Linked DNA regions of Sus scrofa. The main gene of each other region encodes a partner of the protein of the gene in region 5 in a complex. Links are inferred from orthologs where the notes say so. Each region holds a gene or a part of one and is shown on either strand. Other genes may lie near its edges. The genes, in order: CACNB1, CACNB2, STAC3, CACNB3 and CACNG1.

Region 1 (3,512 bases), about 9.6 Mb from region 5:
ACCAAAGAAATGGGGAGCAGAGTCATGAGCGAATGGGCGCTGCCAGGCCCAGCTTGTGGGGTGTCCTGCTCTTCAGGGAGGGGGGACCACTGGATGTGTTTGGAGGTCACAGGATCGGGGTGCTCCCTACCGCAGGGAAAGGAGGGGACAGGCCGTGGGGAGACCAGCCCGCCCAGGAGCTCCATCCCACCCCGTGGGGTGACGGCAGCTCTTACCACTGACAGGGGGCGTGGGGCGGCGGGTGCCAGTCACCACATCTCCCAGACTGGAGCTGGAGTTGTCACCTGATTTGCTGTGTGGGCAGAGAGGCAAATGGAGCCGTGAGCAGAGAGGTAGGCGGGAGGGTGGGGGCTCTGATTCTCTCTCCCGCCCCAGCCCCCAGCCCCACCCCAGGGATTCTCCAGCTCCACTGGTGATGCCACAGGCAGCTCTTTGTCCTCAGGGCAGCGGGTCAACCCTTGGGGCCCACTCCTGGCTAGACAGCCTCTCCCGGGGGTGGGGGCGCCCTGCCCCCCAGCCGGACACCTGGAGCTGAGGCGGTTCTGGCGCAGCTTCTGTTCCTGCAGCAGGCGCAGGCTGTCCAGTTTGACAGGGCTGGGGATGAAGCCGACCTCACAGCCCTCCTTCACCAGCCGCCCGATCCACCAGTCGTTATTGTATTTCTGCAAACAACAACAGCAGGTGGGGTGGGAGAGACCAAGAGGGACATGAGAGGTACCAGCCAGCAGCCAGCTTCAAGGGACCGCATCCCCCGCCTTGCCTACCCTGCCCAGGGGGTAGCACCCTCAAAGAGCCCAGGCCTGGCTCCAGCCTCTGAGTACAGCCCCCAATTCTCAGGCTCCTCTGGAACCAGCATCCTCGTGTGCCACGGACCACCCTGTCCCCAAGCACGTCCCTGCCCTGAGAGACCTTCCTCCCCACGTGTGCCAGCTCTACCCTGGAAAGGCAGGGAGAGAAGGAAATGCTGACACCTCCTTGTGCCTGGCACACTGCCACTCTGCTGACAGGTCTCGTCGCAATCCCTCCCAACAACCGGGCGACCTAGGCATCACCATCCTGTTCTACCAATGAAAAATCTGAAGCTCAGAGAGGTGGAAAGATTTGTCTAAGGTCACACAGCAGATTTAGCCCAGCTCTGCTTGGCTCAGAAGTCCTATTCCACCAGAGCTCTGGCTGCCCCTCTCCTAGCACCCACTACCCTGCTCTCCCCCCAGATGCCAAGTGGTCTCTCCCCACCTCTTTGATGTGCAGGAAGTCCTTGGGCTCGAAGGTGATGGCCACTCCCTGCACAGGCACCTCATCCCCTGGAGATGGGTTGTAGCCAACATTTGTCCTCACAGCAAATGCCACTGGCTTGGTCTGGAGGAGGACCACAACCAGAGGGTTAAATCACGACACGATGCACAACGTCCTGACTGGGGTGGTGATTATGGAGATGTTTGTTTGGTAACTTGCTTATTAAAACATATACTGTACACACTATCATACATAAAATAGATAGGACCTACTATACAGAACAAGAAACCATATTCAGGAGTCCCCGTCATGGCTCAATGGTTAACAAATCCGACTAGGAACCGTGAGGTTGCGGGTTCGATCCCTGGCCTTGCTCAGTGGGTTAAGGATCCGGCGTTGCCATGAGCTGTGGTGTAGGTTGCAGACACAGCTCGGATCCCTCGTTGCTGTGGCTCTAGTGTAGGCTGGGGGCTACAGCTCCGATTGGACTCCTAGCCTGGGAACCTCCATATGTCGCGGGAGCGGCCCAAGAAATGGCAAAAAAAAAAAAAAAAAAAAAAAAAAAAAGACCAAAAAAGAAACTATATTCAAAATCTTGTAATAGGAGTTCCCGTCGTGGCTCAGTGGTTAATGAACCTGACTAGCATTCATGAGGACATGGGTTCGATCCCTGGCCTCGCTCAGTGGGTTAAGGATCTGGCGTTGCTGTGAGCTGTGGTGTAGGTTGCAGACACAGCTCAGATCCCACGTTGCTATGGCTCTGGTGTAGGCCGGCAGCTACAGCTCCGATTAGACCCCTAGCCTAGGAACCTCCCATATGCCGCGGGAGCGGCCCAAGAAAAGGCAAAAAGACAAAAAATAAATAAATTTAAAAAGAAAAATTTTTGAAAGAAAAACATATACTGAATGGCTTTTTATGTGTATATTAAATTTCACAATTAAAAAAAGAAAGCAAAAAATTCCCATTGTGGTGCCATGGAAACAAACCAAACTAGCATCCATGAAGGTGCAGGTTCTATTCCTGCCCTCGCTCAGTGGATTAAGGACCCGGCGTTGCCATGAGCTGCCGTGTAGGTCGCAGACGCGGCTCGGATCTGATGTTGCTGTGGCTGTGGCTGTGGTGTAGGCTGGCAGCTCTGATTCGACCCCTAGCCTGGGAACCTCCATATGCCTCTGGTGCGGCCCTAAAAAAACAAAAAGAAAGCAAAAACTAGAACTCAGTCCTTTGAAGGTAGAGGAGGGCATCAGGGAATGATCAAGTACAGGGGGTGGAGGAGCCCAGAACGACACCAAGAAGGAAGAATAACAATACGAATAAATAACAGTAATAATAATGATAGCCGCTACTGTTTAGAGTGCCAGGTATTTTTTTTCAATGTGTATGTATATGTTCTTTTTTCTTCCTTTTTTTATTAGAGTATAGTCGATTTACAATGTTCTGTCAATTTCTGCTATATAGCAAGGTAACCCAATCATCCATATATATACATTCTTTTTCTCATATTATTTTCCATCATGTTCTATCACAAGTGATTGGATGTAGTTCCCTGGGCTGTACAGCAGGACCTCATTGCTTACCCATTCTACCAACCCCAAACTCCCCATCCATCCCACCCCCACCTCTCTCCCACTTTCGCAACCACGAGTCTGTTCTCTATGATAGGTTGTAGATAGGTTGATTTGTGCCATATTTTTTTTGATAGGCAAGAAATACATTTATTAAGATGAGATACTTATGAGAGATGCAAGCGGGCAGGCAAAAAGGCTGCCCTGAGGATTAGGTGGGCTACATTTTTACAATCCAAGGGAAATCCACTGTGCTATATTTTATTTTATTATTTATTTATTTATCTAGTCTTTTTGCCTTTTCTAGGGCCGCTTCCCATGGCATATGGAGGTTCCCAGGCTAGGGGTCGAATCGGATCTGCAGCCAACGGCCTACACCAGAGCCACAGCAATGCGGGATCCGAGCCGTGTCTGCGACCTCCACCACAGGTCACAGCAACACCAGATCCTTAACCCACTGAGCAAGGCCAGGGATCGAACCCACAACCTCATGGTTCCTAGTTGGATTCGTTAACCACTGCGCCACGACAGGAACTCCCCATTGTGGCATATTTTAGATTCTACATACAAGTGATATCTTATGGTATTTGTCTTTCTTTCTGACTTACTTCACTTAGAATGAGAATCTCTAGTTGCATCCATGTTGTGTGCCAGGTTTTATATGTTTCACATCCATTATCTCATTTATCTATCATCAAAACCCTATGAAG
Region 2 (4,150 bases), on a different chromosome or scaffold from region 5:
ACACTGCCAAAAAATTTAACAGAAAATTGTATTCAAAGAACCACTTAAAATTCGTGATAGGAGTTACTGCTGTGGCACAGTGGATTAAGAATCCAACTGCAGCAGCTTGGGTCACTATATAGGCATGAGTTCAATCCCTGGCCCAGCAAAGTGAGTTAAAGGATTCAGCATTGCTGCCGCTGCAGCTCAGATTCAGTCCCTGACTGGGAACTTCCATATGCTGTGGGTGCGGCCGTAAAAATAAATAAAATTCATAATGGAACAGCAACTAATTAGTCAACAACAGCCATTGAGCAACCATGAGTCCTGTATTCCCCGAAGATAAAAGAGTAGACGAGGACCACGTCCTTAGGGAGCTTCTAGCTTCATAGGCAGATGAAATTTACACACACACAGAGAGTATTCAAAATAAAGAAATCTTTCATTTAAAATTTTCTTTTTATCGCCACTTCGATTTTAATTTTTCTTCTGACCCTGAATGAGTTGAAACTTTTGTTCATATCTGTAATTTTTATTGGACTGTCAGGGTTTTTAACAATTCAGTATTGATTAATACTAACTCTTCCCAAATCATCCAACAAATTTGAAATCCACCTCATAAGGTTGTTGTCAGTTATGAGTAAGATAAAAAAGGTAACATACTAACCACATAGAATATTTTCAGGGAATGTCAGGTATTATTGATGTACCTGTTGAAGGTACCGCATAAAATCGTCAGGTGCTTTGCTCGCAACACTGATATTTAGGTGGTTAGCGGTGCAGCCCCGCATTAGCTGTTTTATACTTTACAAAAATTTGATTTAAAACACTTCTTAAGAGGAGCCCTGCAACATAATTATTTTCAAAATAAGTAGGAACCATAATTCCAGAGAATTCTTAGACGCTTAAGAACAACATGGAGTCCTTAAAGGCACTCAGTTTATTTTCGCTTTTGTTTCCCTTGCGTTCTCATCACACTCTTTCTTTAATATCCATGTGAGATGACAGTGTTCGCGAAACCCATGTAATCATTTCCTGGTGTATGTAAGTCAGATCACTGTGCTGTACGCCTTAAGCTTACACAGCGGTGTATGCCAATTACGCCTCAATAAAACTGGAAGAATTAAAAATATGTGTTTAGGAGTGCCCATTATGGCTCAGCGGTAACAAACCCACCTAATATCCATGGGGATGTGGGTTCGATCCCTAGCCCCGCTCAGTGGGTTAAGGATGCAGTGTTGCTGTGGAGCTGCATCTCAGATCTGGTGTTGCTCTGGCTGTGGTGTGAGCTGGCAGCTGCAGCTCCAGTTCAACCCTAGCCTGGGAACTTCCATATGCTGCAGGTGTACCCCTGAAAAGACACACACATATATATACGTGTATATGTGTGTGTATATATATACATGTATATATGCCTGAAAAGACATATATATACACACACACATATATACGTGTATACGTGTGTATATATATGTGTGTAAATACTCTTTTATGGTAGAATGGGAAAGATCTCAAGAAAAAAATCCAGGTGCCATTTGATTTCATTGAGAGGAATCTCAGCAGCCTTGCTTTGGCTCAGTAGATCTTCACTGAGAGGATTCTTTTTTAAAATACATTTTATTGGAGTATCGTTGACTTAGAAAGTTGTGTTAGTTTCAGTTGTACAGCGTAGTAACTCAGTTCTACGTATACATATATCTGCTCCTTTTCAGATTCTTTTCCTACATAGGTTATTACACAATACGGAATAGATTACTCTGTGCTATACAGTAGGTCCTGTCCATTTTAAATACAGTCGTGGGTATATGTCAGTCCTAACCCCCTAATGTATCCCCCCTGCCGTTGAGAGGAGGAAGAAACATCTCTAAATGTTCATTTCTCTAAATATGCATTCAGACGTCTCTCGCTATTTCACGTCTCTACACATTCATTTCTCTCTCTTTAAAGCAGTGATATTCATGCCTACTTCCAGGGTTGTTTGGCCTGAGAGTAGACCCATTCCTTCAGACTCTTCTTGGCATATAACAGATGTTCAAGAAAAGTGACTTTGCAGTCAAAGCCCTTCCGTAATCTCCCATGACCTCCATCGCTTGATCCAAGTAGTTACCCTGCTGGGGAACAGTAATTTTTGATGACATGGAAAAATGCTATGCACTTTTTTCCTGTGGTAATCTAACTTTCTATCAGAGAGAACATTAGAACTTGGATGAAAACCAAAGTCAAAAGTGACATAGCGGGTTTTATTCCCCCTCCAGTTGTATCTGGAGCAGCTTTAGATGGCCAGGCTTTTCTCTTGTGAGCATAGTCCCTCTGGCAGAACCTTCCAGAACGCTTCAGTCCGGTGACGAGAAGGACAGCAGGCTTTCCAATCGCTTGGTGTGGCTTTGCCCAGAGAGAAGGCAGAGAAGCCCGCCTGTATAATCCGATTTCATCAACTCAAACTAATCACTACTGATAGTAGCAAAATTTAGCCTGGATCGGCTTAGTAAATCTAGATTGACAGGAGGTAAAAGAAACGGGACACAAGGACACAGAACCAAGGGGAGGAGACCAGCACTGATGCCCAGCCTCGCTCTTCCATCTGGGGCTTCTCATTTGCTCCCCTCTGGGGCTTCTATTTTTCTTCCCTTATAAACAAATGTTCCTGGTTGTTAGGAGACCAGCCTTTGACAAAGCAGCCTCACCAACAGCAAGTGCACGGGGAGGCGCCGGCCTGCGGAGCGAGATCCCTCTGGCGTGAGGCTGCGCAGAAGGTACTTCCAGGTACACTCCGTACCTGAGACTATGTATTATTTATTGAAACTGAGCTCTGCTTTCTCTTTATCCTCTGGGCAGCCCTGAAGTGAGGCGCCTCTTAAAATGGATGCCACCAGCAGCTGACCTGGACAGTCTTCTAAATGCTACCTGCTTTCACTTTTCTTCTTGCTAAGTAATTATAAGCCATCGCTCCCAAGCTTCTTGTGAACTCTTGGTCTTGGGGAGTCATTGGAAATTGCACTTTAGCGGCAGAGGGACGGATTTCTCTGTGATTTTGAGCATTTCCACCTGGAGTCAAGTCTTGTGTTTTTGTTTTTGTTTTTAACGAAATACTCCACTCTGCATCTTGCAGTCGTAGAGAAGATACACATGTGGCAGCCTCTGCCTCCATAGGCTGGGTGATTAGAGCCCGTGATCTGGTATGTGTGCGTTTACATGCTTAGTCCAGCGAAGAAAAATGGGTCATCCGAAGGTGATCTTTATTTTTACTTACGATGTCTGTGTCTGGCAATCCAGGGAACTTTTTGCATTTGGGTAACAGAGACACTTGGAATAGACTTCACTGGCTTGTCCATGTTGGTGACATTGCTGTTGGCCACCTCAGGATTACAGGTTGCCATGCAAAAGACGCCGAAGGGTAAAAATGTCTCCTGGGTAAGTAGACGATGATTTGCGATTTCTTCGAAACACATTTTGTTAAGCAGAAACACATCATTGGCGAACATAAAGACATCTAGTGGTTTCACGTTTGGGAGAACTTTTCGTAAAGGATTTGCCTCAGAAGAGCCTATAATTATCTCATACGTGTTGGAAACCCCTTGGCAAAAGCATGAGGGTGTGCTTGCGAAAATGTAAACTATAGGACGCAAACCCTTGGCTTGTTTTGTCATTTTTAAGCTGCTTCGTATTCGCCTCTACACATGGAACTTAAAATGTGTTAATACAAAGACCAGATTGTGATTTCAAGATGTTTTTAACTTCAGAATTCTTTTTTTTTTTTTTTTTTTTTATGGGCGTTTGGTCGACCTGCAATATCGTGTTTGTTTCAGGCGTATAGCAGAGTGATTCAGTTATACATATGCATACATCCATTCTTTTTCAGATTCTTTCCCTGTAAAGGATATTACAGACTATTGGGAAGAGGTCTCTGTGTTATACTGTAGGTCCTTGTTGTTTATCTACTTTATATACAGTAATGTGTATATGTCACTCCCCAATCCTAATTTATCCCTCTCCTCCACAGAGTGAGTTCAGACTTCTTTAGGTTTAGTAAAGACAGTGTCGGTTTCTTGGGTGGGGAGGGGGGCACTGGGTCTGATTTTTTAGGGTAGGATGTGCAGAGTGTACATTACTTGGAGATATTGTTCTGTTCCTTTTATCTTAGAAACAAGGAAGCAGTAGCCATTGCTCTTTT
Region 3 (4,159 bases), on a different chromosome or scaffold from region 5:
TCCAGCGTTGCTGTGAGCTGTGGTGTAGGTTACAGACGCGGCTCGGATCCCGCGTTGATGTGGCTCTGGTGTAGGCCAGTGGCTACAGCTGCGATTCAACCCCTAGCCTGGGAACCTCCATATGCCGCGAGAGCGGCCCAAGAAATAGCAAAAAGACAAAAAAAAAAAAAAAAAAAAAAAAAAAAGAATGCCAGATATCAGAGTTCCTGTTGTGGCTCAGCAGTAATGAACCCAGCTAATGTCCCTGAGGATGCAGGTTCCATCCCTGGACCCACTCATTGAGTCAAAGGATCCGGTGTTGCTGTAAGCTGTGGTGTAGGTCACAGACAAGGCTCGGATCCCACGTTGCTGTGACTGTGGTGTGGTATAGGCTGGCAGCTGCAGCTCCAATTTGACTCTAGCCTGGGAATTTCCATATGCCGAAGGTGCAGCCCTAAAAAGACCCCCCTCCAAAAAAAAGAATGCCAACTATCTCATTGACCCATCAGTTCATATGCCAGGACATCATCAGAAAGAGAAGGAATCAGGGAGTCAGAATGATGAAGGAAATGTGAGGCTTGGCCATCCTGTCTCCAAGAGTTTGCAGCTCCCATGAGGAAGGAGACTTACTTACAGATGATAAAAACTCCCAATGTGACAACTCTTGCCTTCTGTGCAATGTTAATGAAACCATCTCTGTGATCATTGGACCCTCACTCCCTCAGAGACCCTCAGGTGGAAGTCCCAGCCTGACTTTTTAAAATAGCTCTTAGAATTCCTTTCACCCTGAGGACAAGACTTTAGAGAAATAGGGAAAAGATCTCTGGGGGCAGCTGGAGGGAACAAAGCAATACTGCGTGTCGTCACTGCCTTACCAGATAGCAGCCACTGCTCATGGGCAGGAAGGCCATCTAGGAGATCCCTAGTGGCTCAGTGGTTTAAAGACCCGGCATTATCACTTCTATGGCTCTGGTTGCTGCTGTGACATGGGTTCAATTCCTGGTCCGGGAATTAATTTATGCATGCCGTGAGCACGGCCAAAAAAAAAAAAAAAAAAAAAAGGCAATCTAGTTTGGCTGAGCTCTGGAAATCCAAATTATCCTTTCTTGACCAGTTTCCAAGCTTTCTTACTGTTGGAGCCTAGATCGATGCTTGAGGGTATAAAAACAAGACAGGGACCACAAGAAGACAATGGCTAAGAAGTCAAAGGCTAGTTCCTAAAACAGGTTCAAGGAGGGGAGAATCGGGGAGGTATTGAGACCTTGGGGGAAAGGGGATGGATAAGGCTGTTTGTAAGTCATCTAAAATCAGCCACGCAAGTGTCCAGCATGGACACTGTCCCCTCCTGAGTTTAGCCAATGCTGAACTGCACACCGTGGATGAAAAACCAAGCAACAGCAGTGTGGGGGGATGGGAGGAGTTAGGGTCCAGCCCTGCCCAGACCTCCTCGTGTCCAATTTCTCTGTGTCAGCTGTGTCGCTCAGCTGTCCACTTTCCTCCAGCCCTGTCATTTCAGCTCTGACACCAAGGCGAGAGGCTAGGAGGTCTACAAATACCGTCTGGGTAGCTGGTGTGAGTACAGAGGGTACTGGGGGGGCTTAGCCCCCAAGGAAGAGGACCAGTCCTCCCCCAGCACCACCATCAAGACCCCAGGGGCTCCCTCTTTTCTCCACAGACTGTGGACTGACTTAGGGAATCCCAAACGTAAGTTGCCTCTTCATCCTCTTTGCGTTTCCAGGACTTCTCACCCCAGCTTCCCCAATCCGTAGTCTATTCAGCTTCTTCATTTCTCTCATTGTCTGTGAGTAGTTTGGGTTTTAGGAGTGAAATTATTAAGCTACTCCAGGACAAGAGTTAGGATTGAAGGGTAGGGTGGGGGTGGGGTCAGGGGAGTAGAGTAGTAAGGGAAGGAAAGTCTCATATTACTCTGAAAACTTAAAATAGCTGAAGCCTGAGGCAGGCTGGGAACTAGGGAACTAGGCACCGGGCCCCTGAGCTCAAGAAAGGTAGGAGAGAACAAATGTCCCCAGCCCATCCCTCTATGCGCACTTGTGGACATGCACATTAAACCTCTTGAAAGGGGATCTGGGAAGGTGTGTGTCACATTTCTAAAGCCCACAGATTCCCTTGGAGTTGCCATCATGGCTCAGTGGTTAACGAATCCGACTAGGAACCATGAGGTTGCGGGTTTGATCCCTGGCCTTGCTCAGTGGGGTAAGGAGCCGGCATTGCTGCGGCTGTGGTGTAGGCCGGCAGCTGCAGCTCTAATTAGACCGCTAGCCTGGGAACCTCCCTATGCCACGAGTGCAGCCCTAGAAAAAGACAAAAATAAATAAATAAAAACCAAAGCCCACAGATTCCCAAGAGAAACAAAGTGCTTGTAGGAAAATGCCTAAACCACACAGCCTTGTGCACTGTCTCAGGGCAGTAAACTCTGGGGTTGCCCATCAGGATAGAAGGATGGTCATTGGTTTAAGGAGTTGGTAGGGAAGTTCTTTTGTCTGTTGGGCTTTTCTCTGGGCCTTTCTGGAATCTTTCTGCTCCTTGCCCCTGTCTGTGAAAGAATCTCTGTTTAACCAAATTTCTCCCAAAGCCTCCCCTTCAAGGACCACCCTACTGCAAGGGACAGGAACAAGGGGGGAAGAATGTCATTCAGAGATTAGATTTCATAGTGAGGTCAACCTCTTGCAGGATGACAGAAAAGGAGGTGCTGGAGTCCCATAAGCCCTCCTTCCCAGGAGAGACTCGGCAAAGTGGGGTGAGTCTGGGCCTTGACCATGGGGTATGGGGAGCTGGGAAGCCACTGCAGTCTTGAAGAAAATTGCTTGAATTGATCTCACTTGTATACGATTCATGTATTGTTCAAATGCTAGCTAGCACCTACAGGCCCCAGGACCCCCTAATCCTGGGGTGTGCCCCTTGCCCCAAGCTTGAAGAATGTCTAGTTAGCTTCAGCCTGACCTACTCTAAAAAGCAAGACAGTTCCTTTAACACTGGGTTTCCTTCCTTCCCTCCTTCCTTCCTTCCCTCCCTCAGCTACAGCGGCTGAAGCAGTTATTTAGGAAGGAGTCTACAGGGACAAAGGAGATGGAGCTTCCCCCAGAGCCCCAGGCCAATGGGGAGGCAGTGGGAGCTGGGGGTGGGCCCATCTACTACATCTATGAGGAAGAGGAAGAAGAGGAGGAAGAGGAAGAAGAACCACTCCCAGAACCTCCCAAGCTTGTCAATGATAAGCCCCACAAATTCAAAGATCACTTCTTCAAGAAGCCCAAGTTCTGTGACGTCTGCGCCCGGATGATTGTGCGTGAGTCACAGAGGGAAGTGGAGAGTGTGATGCCAAAGGCAGGGGGCAGGGGAAAGGATTTAGGAGAGGAGTATTTGTACATCAGATAGGCTGTGGCAAGATTTAGCTTTAAGAAACTACTGCAGAGATGGAGAGTGTCAGGTCCTATACTGAAAAGGGACCTGAGAACTAGAGTAGCAGCAGTGTTAGGAAGGGAAAGGGCAATCAGGAACCTCACGCAAATGTTCTCCCCATCTCCCAAGTCAACAACAAATTTGGGCTTCGCTGTAAGAACTGCAAAACTAACATCCACGAACACTGTCAGTCCTACGTGGAGATGCAGAGATGCTTCGGCAAGATCGTGAGTAGGCTCTGGGGAGCAAGAAAGTAGAAGGGAGGGGACATGTTGCCCGCTACCTCCTTGCCGGTCCCTCCTCAAGGCATCCCATCCATTTCCCTGCTTTTTCTTCCTCAGCCTATCTTTTACTCCAAGAAAGGGTGGACGTTCATGGGAGAGGTGGGGTTTGGGGCTCTACCTTGTTATCTCTAATGCTTTCTCCCATCCCATCCTACAGCCCCCTGGTTTCCGTCGGGCCTATAGCTCCCCACTCTACAGCAACCAGCAGTACGCTTGTGTCAAAGATCTCTGTAAGTGCCCCATACAGGACCTGAGGGAATGGGCAAGCCTAGAGGTGGTTTCCAGATGTGGAAACAAAATTCTGAAACAGAAAGATTCTATATCCTGTGGTTCTCGCTCAACCTAGTATCTTGGCCATCTTGGATGCAGAGTCAGTATTCCTCTGTTTTATAGCTGAGGGAAATAAGGTTTAGCTGGGGCTCTACTCAGGAAGAGACAGAACCAAAACTGAAACTTTCACCCGCCTAACCTCAAACTCT
Region 4 (4,117 bases), on a different chromosome or scaffold from region 5:
CCCCAAATGGTGCTGGACTCAGGAGAAGGACCTGGGAAAGCAGACTGCCCCCCTCCCCCCAACAGGGAGCCATGGGGGCTCTAACAAAGTTGTTTGCCAAATCCAGCAGGAGGAAGATGCTGGGCAGGGCTGGACTGCACCACTTACAGGGTGTGGACAGACTAAAGCAGACTAAAGATGTCTTAAGATGAGGCTCCTCTTTTTCTTGCTAAGGGAACGTGAACAAGTGACATAGTGAGAAGCCAGTTGGGGCTTCTTTTTTTGGGGGGCGGGGTCTTCCTCTCTCGCGAAGGCACAATGCTTCCCATCATGGGTCTCATCAACCCTGTCAGAGTTTTGGTTTTCTAATTCCCCGGTAGCCCAGGAAGGTGAAGGCGTGAGCAGATTTCTGATTCACCCCCCTGGGTGTGAGACAGTGGAAAAGGAGAAGGACTGAGCTTCTGAAGCTTTCTAGTAATCTTCCCTGGCGCATCCCTGGGGGTGAGGATGGGGTGGAGGAGAGTAGGTAGGCAATCAAAATTCAAGGGGATAATTTTGTTCAGGAGATAAAAAAAAAAAAAAAAACAGGAAGGAACTCAAATGGGTGGAACTTTGAGGAAGTTTCCTGAAGATAAGGACTGCTGCTCAGTTCTAACCTCAAATCTTAGTGCCCTTTTGAAGGCGACTGCCTGGTTAAGCGGCTCCAAGCAGGATACTGGCCATCCCACCCCACCTCCATCCTCTTGCCAAGGAGGGGATCTGGCCTCACACTAGTGACTCTGAAGGGGGAAACGTGCCCCGGACCCCACCTTCCGCCCCAGCCCCAGCCATCCCCTTACCTCTGCTCTCAGGTTTCTTCCCTCTCCCTTTAGGCTCGCCTAAAACAGCCCCTCCCTACCCCAGTTCCCACGGATGCCTTGGCAACGCCCCGCACAGCCCTTGGCAGGGAAGTGAGGAAGGGAACCCCCATCCTGGCCAGACGAGGATGAGATCTGCCCGCGCAACAGGTGTGGGGCGGCGGGACCCCAAACCTCCCCCTTCGCACCGCTTGGGCATCGAGGCCCTTTGCTGCCAAAGTCCCAACACGGAGAGGGCCGAGCGCCTGGGGTGGGGAAAGGCTACTTTCTTGCCACGGCCTGGGGTCGCTAAGCCCATTCCTTCCCGGTGCCACTGCTGGGTTTGCTTTTGGAGTCTCCCGGGCCGCCAGGGCCCAGACACACCGCCCTCTCACCTGCCGCCCCTCCCCCGCCCGCCGCCCGCCCCCGCCCCGCCTCCTCCGTCTCCCTCCGTCTCCCTCCGTCTCCCCAGGCTCCTGCCTCCCCACTTCCTCCCTGTGCCTCTCCTCCTCCCTTCTCCGTTTCCCACCGCCCGGTAGCCGGCGCCCTCTCCTTTCTCGCCGGGGTCTCGGCTTCCCTGCCGTCTCGGCGCAGCCTCCCCTCCCCCGCCCCAGCCCTTTGTTTCCCGGCGGAGTATTTCCTGGGTTGCCGAGCGTCTCTGTCTCCGCATCTCTCCTCGCCCCGCCTCCTGCAAGGCTGGATCCGCCCCGCCCGCAGTCTCTCCTCCCCTTCCTCCCTGCCGCCCCTCTGCCCCGCAAGTGCTAGGGGACCCACCTTCTGGCCAGCTCCTGCGGGCAACCCTCTGCCCGCCGGCTCTCGGGCTCCCCAGTGGCCGGCGCCCCCCGCCGCCACCCCCGCCCGCTCCCAGGGAGGGGGGGTCAGGTGGGCGGGCACTATTGTTGTAGGAGCCGGCGCCAGATTCCTCGGCGGCGCTCGGGGTGGGATCGGCAGGGTTTGGGGGGGTGGGGTGGGGGGAAGCGGTGATTTGAGCTCGGAGCAGCTGGTCTTCGCGGCTCGCTCCCTCCTGCGTGCTCCCGCTCTCCTCCGCCGCCGCCCGCAGGGCTGCGGGGCTCGGTGGCATCTCCCGGGCGCGGCCCGCTGTCCTCACCCCTGCCTCCGGGCCGCTCCCGCCCCCGGCGCCGCTCCTTCCCCCCCCATCCGGACTCCCCCATGTATGACGACTCCTACGTGCCCGGGTTTGAGGACTCGGAGGCGGTGAGTGCCTACGGGGAGGGTGGGGGTGGGGAAGTTGGGGTGACACCTTCTCTCTCTTGGACCCTTCCCCCAGTTCAGGACTTTGGGAAAAAAAAAAAAAAACCCGCTTCTGTGGCGGGGCAGGGCGTGGGGGGGGGCGCTCCAGGAAAGTGGGGAGATGGGTTTTCATGCCAGAGGCTCCCAGTGCTCCTGTCCTAGAGCAAGGGGCGTCGGGTGTGTGCAGAGAGGGGCTAGTTGGGGGGGGGGGCTCAGAGCAGGTGGCTCCACAGCCCAGGATAGAAGGGTAGAGGGAGGAGGGGCTGGAGGCAGAGGGCCCAGAGGCTTTAGAGAGGCCTCACTGCAATGTCTGGAGTTCCCAAGGGGTGATTTGTGGGGTCTGAACATAACAGCCACAGGAGAAACTGGGGCTCTTGCAGAGGGGGACCCTCCAGACCTCCTGTGCCTCAAGTAAAGGACAAATTAGGGAGCCTCTAGGACAGCAGAGAATCCGACACCAGCCTCTTCAGACAGGAGGATCCTGAAACTTGAGGACTCCATTGTCCCCCTGCGCTGTCCATCCCTGAGCGTGGCCTTATCTCTCACCCTGCCTCACACCCAGCTTCTCTCCCAGGCTGAAAACTGGGCAGCCAGCACACGAGTGGGCCAGCTGACCGAGCCCCATCCATTCGACTCCTCCTGCTGAGGCAGCCTCAGAGCAGTGGGGGGCTCAGCATGGAGGGCCTGGAGGGGAGGCCAGAGATGCTGAGGGCCTGGGGATAGAGAGGAAGCTCTTTGCTCAGAGAACCAGGCAACTGATAAATATTTAATTCTCCTCTTTGCTTTTATCTCCTGACCTGCTGAGACAAATCAGCTCATTAGGCAGTGATTCCCGGAGCTCAGAGAGCAGGGACAGTGCCTGGAAAGATGGGGCACGGGAGGGCAGCCGCATCTCAGTGCCTTCCCTCAAACACCCTACCAGAGGCGCCCTTATGAGAGCAGCTAGATGGCGTGGAAGGGGTCCCTCACAGGTGTGGAGGCTAGCGCACTCCAGGCTCGCAAGGGGCCTGTTGTGGGTCTTCCTTCTCCCATCTCTCCCGAGGCCAAGCCCAGGGTAGGTGAGTTCTAGGGCTCAGAATAGACAGCTATCAATCCTTTTCCAGGACTGGGCTCCTGCTGGGCCCAGTTCCCGTAGGGCCTCTGGGGCTAATTGCATTGCGGCTAGAGCAGATGAATTTCAAGGCTCTGGTGGACACCTCTTTCTGACAGTTGAAGGGACAGATGGCATGGCCCAGGGTGCCAAGGTGAGCTTGAGAATGCACCTTTGTGTGGGGCTGGAGGGCCCTAGAAGGTTCTTGCCTTCCCGAGTTGGCTAGCACTGCTGCAAGGTGAAGACTGACATGTAGGTGGAGTTGGGGGCAGCCCGCTCCCCCTTCGGCGCAGGCTTCTCATCCCTCCCTGGCTCCTGGGTTACCCTCCCCCACTCCTCTTTCTCCTGCCTGGCTTCTTGCTCTCCCCGAGGCCCCCTCTGAAGCAGTAGGAGGGAAATCAGGCTCTAAATAAATCCAACGGCTCATCTCCCTCCTCTCCTTCCCCCGTGCCAGGCAAGAGTGGAGCTGCAGCCTGCCCACACACTCCCCAGGCAAGGGGGGCACCACCAGGGCACCGTGCCAACTCCTGGCAGCTTCAAAGTACCAAGCCTCTGGCTGTTTTGGCATCACAGGGGGTGGGGGAGGCAAGAACCCAGAGTACCCTTGGCAGCCCCGACCTCCCTGAGTGATACTGGAGCATGAGCGATGGGTGAGCCCCAGGGACTTGGGAGTAACAGAGAGGGGGGTTCCATTCTGAGCACTCGACCCGTCAGACATTTAGGAAGAGATCCTGTCTGTCCCCCTTCCGAGGGTGAGAGGCCAGGTAACCCAGGTGCCCCAGGCAGGGACACAGAAATGACTAAACTGCACTGAGAGCCTGGAGAACAGCGAATACAGGCCAGACTCCTCTCCCAGCGCAGGTGTAGGCATCTAGGAAGAAGCCTGTCACAGTGAGTGGTCGTCCTGCCTCGCCTCCTGCTCCCGGCCAGTTGGCCCCTGTCCACTGCAGACAGCCCTTTC
Region 5 (3,512 bases):
TCACGCAAACGCCCCACAGCAGTGGTTTGTCCAGAACGAAGCCTGGTGTCTGTCTGGTGGGAACTGACACCCCAAACACTATCTGCACGAGAGGAGCCCCTGTGAGCCCCTGTGCCAAACAGCTGTGCCTGGGCCAGGCTCTCCACGGGCCTTCATCTCTAGGCCCTCGGCGCCGAAGGCTTTTAACTCTCGGCTTGTGAGTAGTCAGGGAGGCAGCTGACCGTGAAATACACTTGAATTCCGCCAATTCTTAGAGGGTTTTCAATGACACCCGAAATTGGCCCTGAAAGAATGAAACAGAAATTGTTCCTTTATCCAGAGGGAGACACTGGGAGTTCTGCGACATTGCACGAGCCATTTTGAAGCAGTGATTCGAGAGAATCTATAGCTAATACTCTAACAAATATAAGAGGGTGGCATTATGCTTTCAAGTAGCACCAGAAGCTGTGGGAGAGCATCAGTTCTGATGTCACCAGCGGCAGCCACACACCCAGGTAACTCAGTTCAGAAGGAACGTGATTTAAATATAGAGGAACATTTACTGCTGCTAAACCAGGCTCCGTCTCTGGGGTCACGCGCATCCTCAACTGTGGGAGCAGCAATAAGCCTGACCCTAGGGGAGCGGGGAGAGTGGGAGGCCACAGGCTTCAACGGCAAGGAGCTGATATGGGTCAGACGGAAGGAAGGCCTGCGCCCCAGTGAAAACTCTGGCTTCAGCAGCACCTCAGGTGTGCTTCCAAAAGAAACGAGGCATCAATCACCTGGCGACAATTTGAACGTAGCCCGAAGGTAAAGAAATGAATGAATGCACAAACCAGATGCCAGCTAAACCAGGAGCAGAGCTATTTCTCTACGGAGGTTCAAGGATCCACAGGAAAAATAATTCAATGAACGGTCTCACCCAAACAAAACCGAATTTAGTTTTTTTGTTGTTGTTGTTGTTTTTTTTTTAAGAAACAAAATAGTATAAAATAACCCAGTCATCTACTTCCTAAGTCAGGAGTAAAGACTATCAAACTATATCCAATAAGCGATAAGACCACCCTCTGATTCTATAGTGTGTTGAGTTATTAGAGAGTTTACAGGAGAAAAACGGAAGAGACATTATATTGAAAATCAGCATGAATTTCTCTGTTTTGAGTTCTTCCCCTGTCCCCATCAAATCCAGATTTTCGGTCCCACTGCCAACACGGATCAGCTATGGCTTTTCTGACACAAATCAGGTGGACCAGGCAGCTTCCTTGAGAGGCCTTATCTGGGCTGCTTCTGTGGCCGCAGGTGTCAAGGGCCTGATGAAATGATGTGACAGTCACATTTGTCCCTTGATTAGAGGCTCTCTACCCTTCACCCAGATCCAGATCCAGATCCCAGAGACGGCCACTCGGAAAATGCTCCCCAGAAAATGAGCATTTTAAGGGGTCTGGCTTCTAAACCTGACTGAGCTTCAGAATCTCCTGGAATGCTTTTGAAAAACCCTGTTTGCTTCCCAGGGCACCCTCAGTGCTTCAGGGTGGGCCTGGATGTTGATAAAAACCCCACCCTCGAGAGGATGTGATCCAGGGTTTCTCAACCTTGGCGCTGACATTTGGGGGCCAGATCATTATATGCTGTGGGGGGCTGTCTTGTGCACTGTAGGATGGTCAGAAGCATCCAGGCCTCTACCCACTAATACCTGTAGCAGCCCCTGCCCAGCTGTGACACCAAAAATGTCTCCAGACATTGCCTGGTGTCCCCTGGAGGCACAATCAGGCCTGGCTGAGAACCACTGTCTGGCCCTTGGTTGACCACGTGTCCTGCACCCCCTAACATAGAACGTGAGCTCTGGGCCTCAGTTACCCTATCTGCCTAATGGGCCCAGTACCCCAGTGCTCTCTGCCCCTGGACTCAGTCAGCCTGAGTTCCCTGAAGATCTGCCAGTCTCTTACGCAACCTCCTTTTCGCGCCGAAATTGTGGGTGAAGGTCAGAGACAGATGTTTATTTCCGCCCAGAGTCAGGTTTGGGGGAGCAGGGAGCCAGTCAGAAGCGCCCTTTCCCCCCCTCCCCAGGGGGCTCACACCCGCCTTCTCTTGCTGAGCCTGTGCCCCGGCTGCAGGTCCCTTCTCTTGACTCATAGGCTGTCTCCCTTTTTTGCAGAGAAAAACTGTTCCTACTTCAGGCATTTTAACCCGGGCGAGACCTCAGAGATCTTCCACGTCACCACTCAGAAAGGTGAGCCCGCGTGGAGATGGGAGAGGGGGTGGCAGCGTGGCTCCCGTCACCCGCTGCTGAGCCAGAAAATCACCTGGCACTGAAGCCCCAACGTCCCCGCTCTGACACCAGGCAGCCCCTCCCGATGCGTTTGAGCAACAGCCTGGGCACCCTCTGTGCTCCCGAGACAGCTGCCCTCCGTCTCCAGGGCTCCTGAGAGTCCCTTCCTCAGAGCTCAGGCGAGTTCGTAAAAGACATGGTTCCTGGTAGCTCCCCAAGTGGCAGAAGGAGCTCATTTTCCCACAGAGCCCGAGGGATGCTGCTGCGACAGGAGCTCTGGAAACAAGGATGCAAGATCCTGGTGATGGTTTTCAGAACCAATGGGTCAGAGTCCGTAGGGAGCCCTTCTGAGTAGAAATCACTCTCTGAGAATCAAAGAAGGTGGGGACTCGGGCGGATAACAGGAGGGGCCCCTGGAGCACTCGGGCCCTGGGGGGGCCTTTGGGGAACCATGGGGCTCCAGGGCTCCCTTCTGGCCTAAGCACAGCCCCGCATCGGCACGGGTGCAGACGACTGCACACAGCACAGGCGTGCACACGTGCACACCTATGCACACATGCATGCATGCACAAATATGCATGCATGTACACACCTGCATACACGCACACAGGCACACACATGTACCCACTCGGACACACACACAGATCGTCTCACATACTGAGCTGGGTAACAAGTCACACTCTGTCCTCCTTCCAGAGGTGGCGTGTCAGTCCCAGGACAGACCATCCCCAGCCTGAGTGCCACCTTCTGACCTGTCACTCAGAGGAAGGTTTCTGCTCCTGAAAGGCCTCCTGCCACACATTTCCCGCCTCCTTCCAGGGCCTCTGACCCTGGAGGGAGGAACTTCAGTTTAGGGCCTGGAAGACCTGGGAGAAGGAATTCGTTCAGGAGAACATCCTGGCCCCACCCCTTACCCACTACCTACCTTTGAACGAGGGCTCTTGGAACCTCAGTTTTCTCACCTGGGAAATGGGAATCATTGGATGTGGCACCCTCGCTGACCTGGTTGCAGGCACAACCAGCAATGACAAAAGGTGCAGGGGATGAGGCCCCTTCTGAAGCGCCTGGGGGCGTCTCTGCCCCTTCTGTGTGTCGCAGAGTACAGCATCTCGGCGGCCGCCATCGCCATCTTCAGCCTCGGCTTCATCATCCTGGGAACCATCTGCGGGCTCCTGTCCTTCAGGAAGAAGCGGGATTACCTGCTGAGGCCGGCGTCCATGTTCTACGCCTTCGCAGGTACGCTGAGGGCGCCTGTCCCTGTGCC

The links.
Region 1: CACNG1 (region 5) and CACNB1 share a complex: the UniProt entries of both Homo sapiens proteins name them as parts of the calcium channel complex. The link is inferred for Sus scrofa from reciprocal best matches to the Homo sapiens genes CACNG1 and CACNB1.
Region 2: CACNG1 (region 5) and CACNB2 share a complex: the UniProt entries of both Homo sapiens proteins name them as parts of the calcium channel complex. The link is inferred for Sus scrofa from reciprocal best matches to the Homo sapiens genes CACNG1 and CACNB2.
Region 3: CACNG1 (region 5) and STAC3 share a complex: the UniProt entries of both Homo sapiens proteins name them as parts of the calcium channel complex. The link is inferred for Sus scrofa from reciprocal best matches to the Homo sapiens genes CACNG1 and STAC3.
Region 4: CACNG1 (region 5) and CACNB3 share a complex: the UniProt entries of both Homo sapiens proteins name them as parts of the calcium channel complex. The link is inferred for Sus scrofa from reciprocal best matches to the Homo sapiens genes CACNG1 and CACNB3.

Annotation. Positions count from the first base shown.
Region 1 is NC_010454.4:23,044,684-23,048,195, reverse strand, and holds part of CACNB1 (voltage-dependent L-type calcium channel subunit beta-1), read right to left. Parts: intron 1,360-3,512; coding exon 1,237-1,359; intron 663-1,236; coding exon 526-662; intron 293-525; coding exon 216-292; intron 1-215. UniProt on the Homo sapiens protein: Regulatory subunit of L-type calcium channels. Regulates the activity of L-type calcium channels that contain CACNA1A as pore-forming subunit.
Region 2 is NC_010452.4:44,593,598-44,597,747, forward strand, and holds the start of CACNB2 (voltage-dependent L-type calcium channel subunit beta-2), read left to right. Parts: upstream 1-1,347; 5' UTR 1,348-3,171; coding exon 3,172-3,390; intron 3,391-4,150. UniProt on the Homo sapiens protein: Beta subunit of voltage-dependent calcium channels which contributes to the function of the calcium channel by increasing peak calcium current. Plays a role in shifting voltage dependencies of activation and inactivation of the channel.
Region 3 is NC_010447.5:22,553,523-22,557,681, reverse strand, and holds the start of STAC3 (SH3 and cysteine-rich domain-containing protein 3), read left to right. Parts: upstream 1-1,351; 5' UTR 1,352-1,683; intron 1,684-2,572; 5' UTR 2,573-2,671; coding exon 2,672-2,737; intron 2,738-3,015; coding exon 3,016-3,283; intron 3,284-3,525; coding exon 3,526-3,623; intron 3,624-3,837; coding exon 3,838-3,910; intron 3,911-4,159. UniProt on the Homo sapiens protein: Required for normal excitation-contraction coupling in skeletal muscle and for normal muscle contraction in response to membrane depolarization. Required for normal Ca(2+) release from the sarcplasmic reticulum, which ultimately leads to muscle contraction.
Region 4 is NC_010447.5:14,877,129-14,881,245, forward strand, and holds the start of CACNB3 (voltage-dependent L-type calcium channel subunit beta-3), read left to right. Parts: upstream 1-1,314; 5' UTR 1,315-1,985; coding exon 1,986-2,030; intron 2,031-4,117. UniProt on the Homo sapiens protein: Regulatory subunit of the voltage-gated calcium channel that gives rise to L-type calcium currents. Increases CACNA1B peak calcium current and shifts the voltage dependencies of channel activation and inactivation.
Region 5 is NC_010454.4:13,469,718-13,473,229, forward strand, and holds part of CACNG1 (voltage-dependent calcium channel gamma-1 subunit), read left to right. Parts: intron 1-2,134; coding exon 2,135-2,209; intron 2,210-3,346; coding exon 3,347-3,484; intron 3,485-3,512. UniProt on the Homo sapiens protein: Regulatory subunit of the voltage-gated calcium channel that gives rise to L-type calcium currents in skeletal muscle. Regulates channel inactivation kinetics.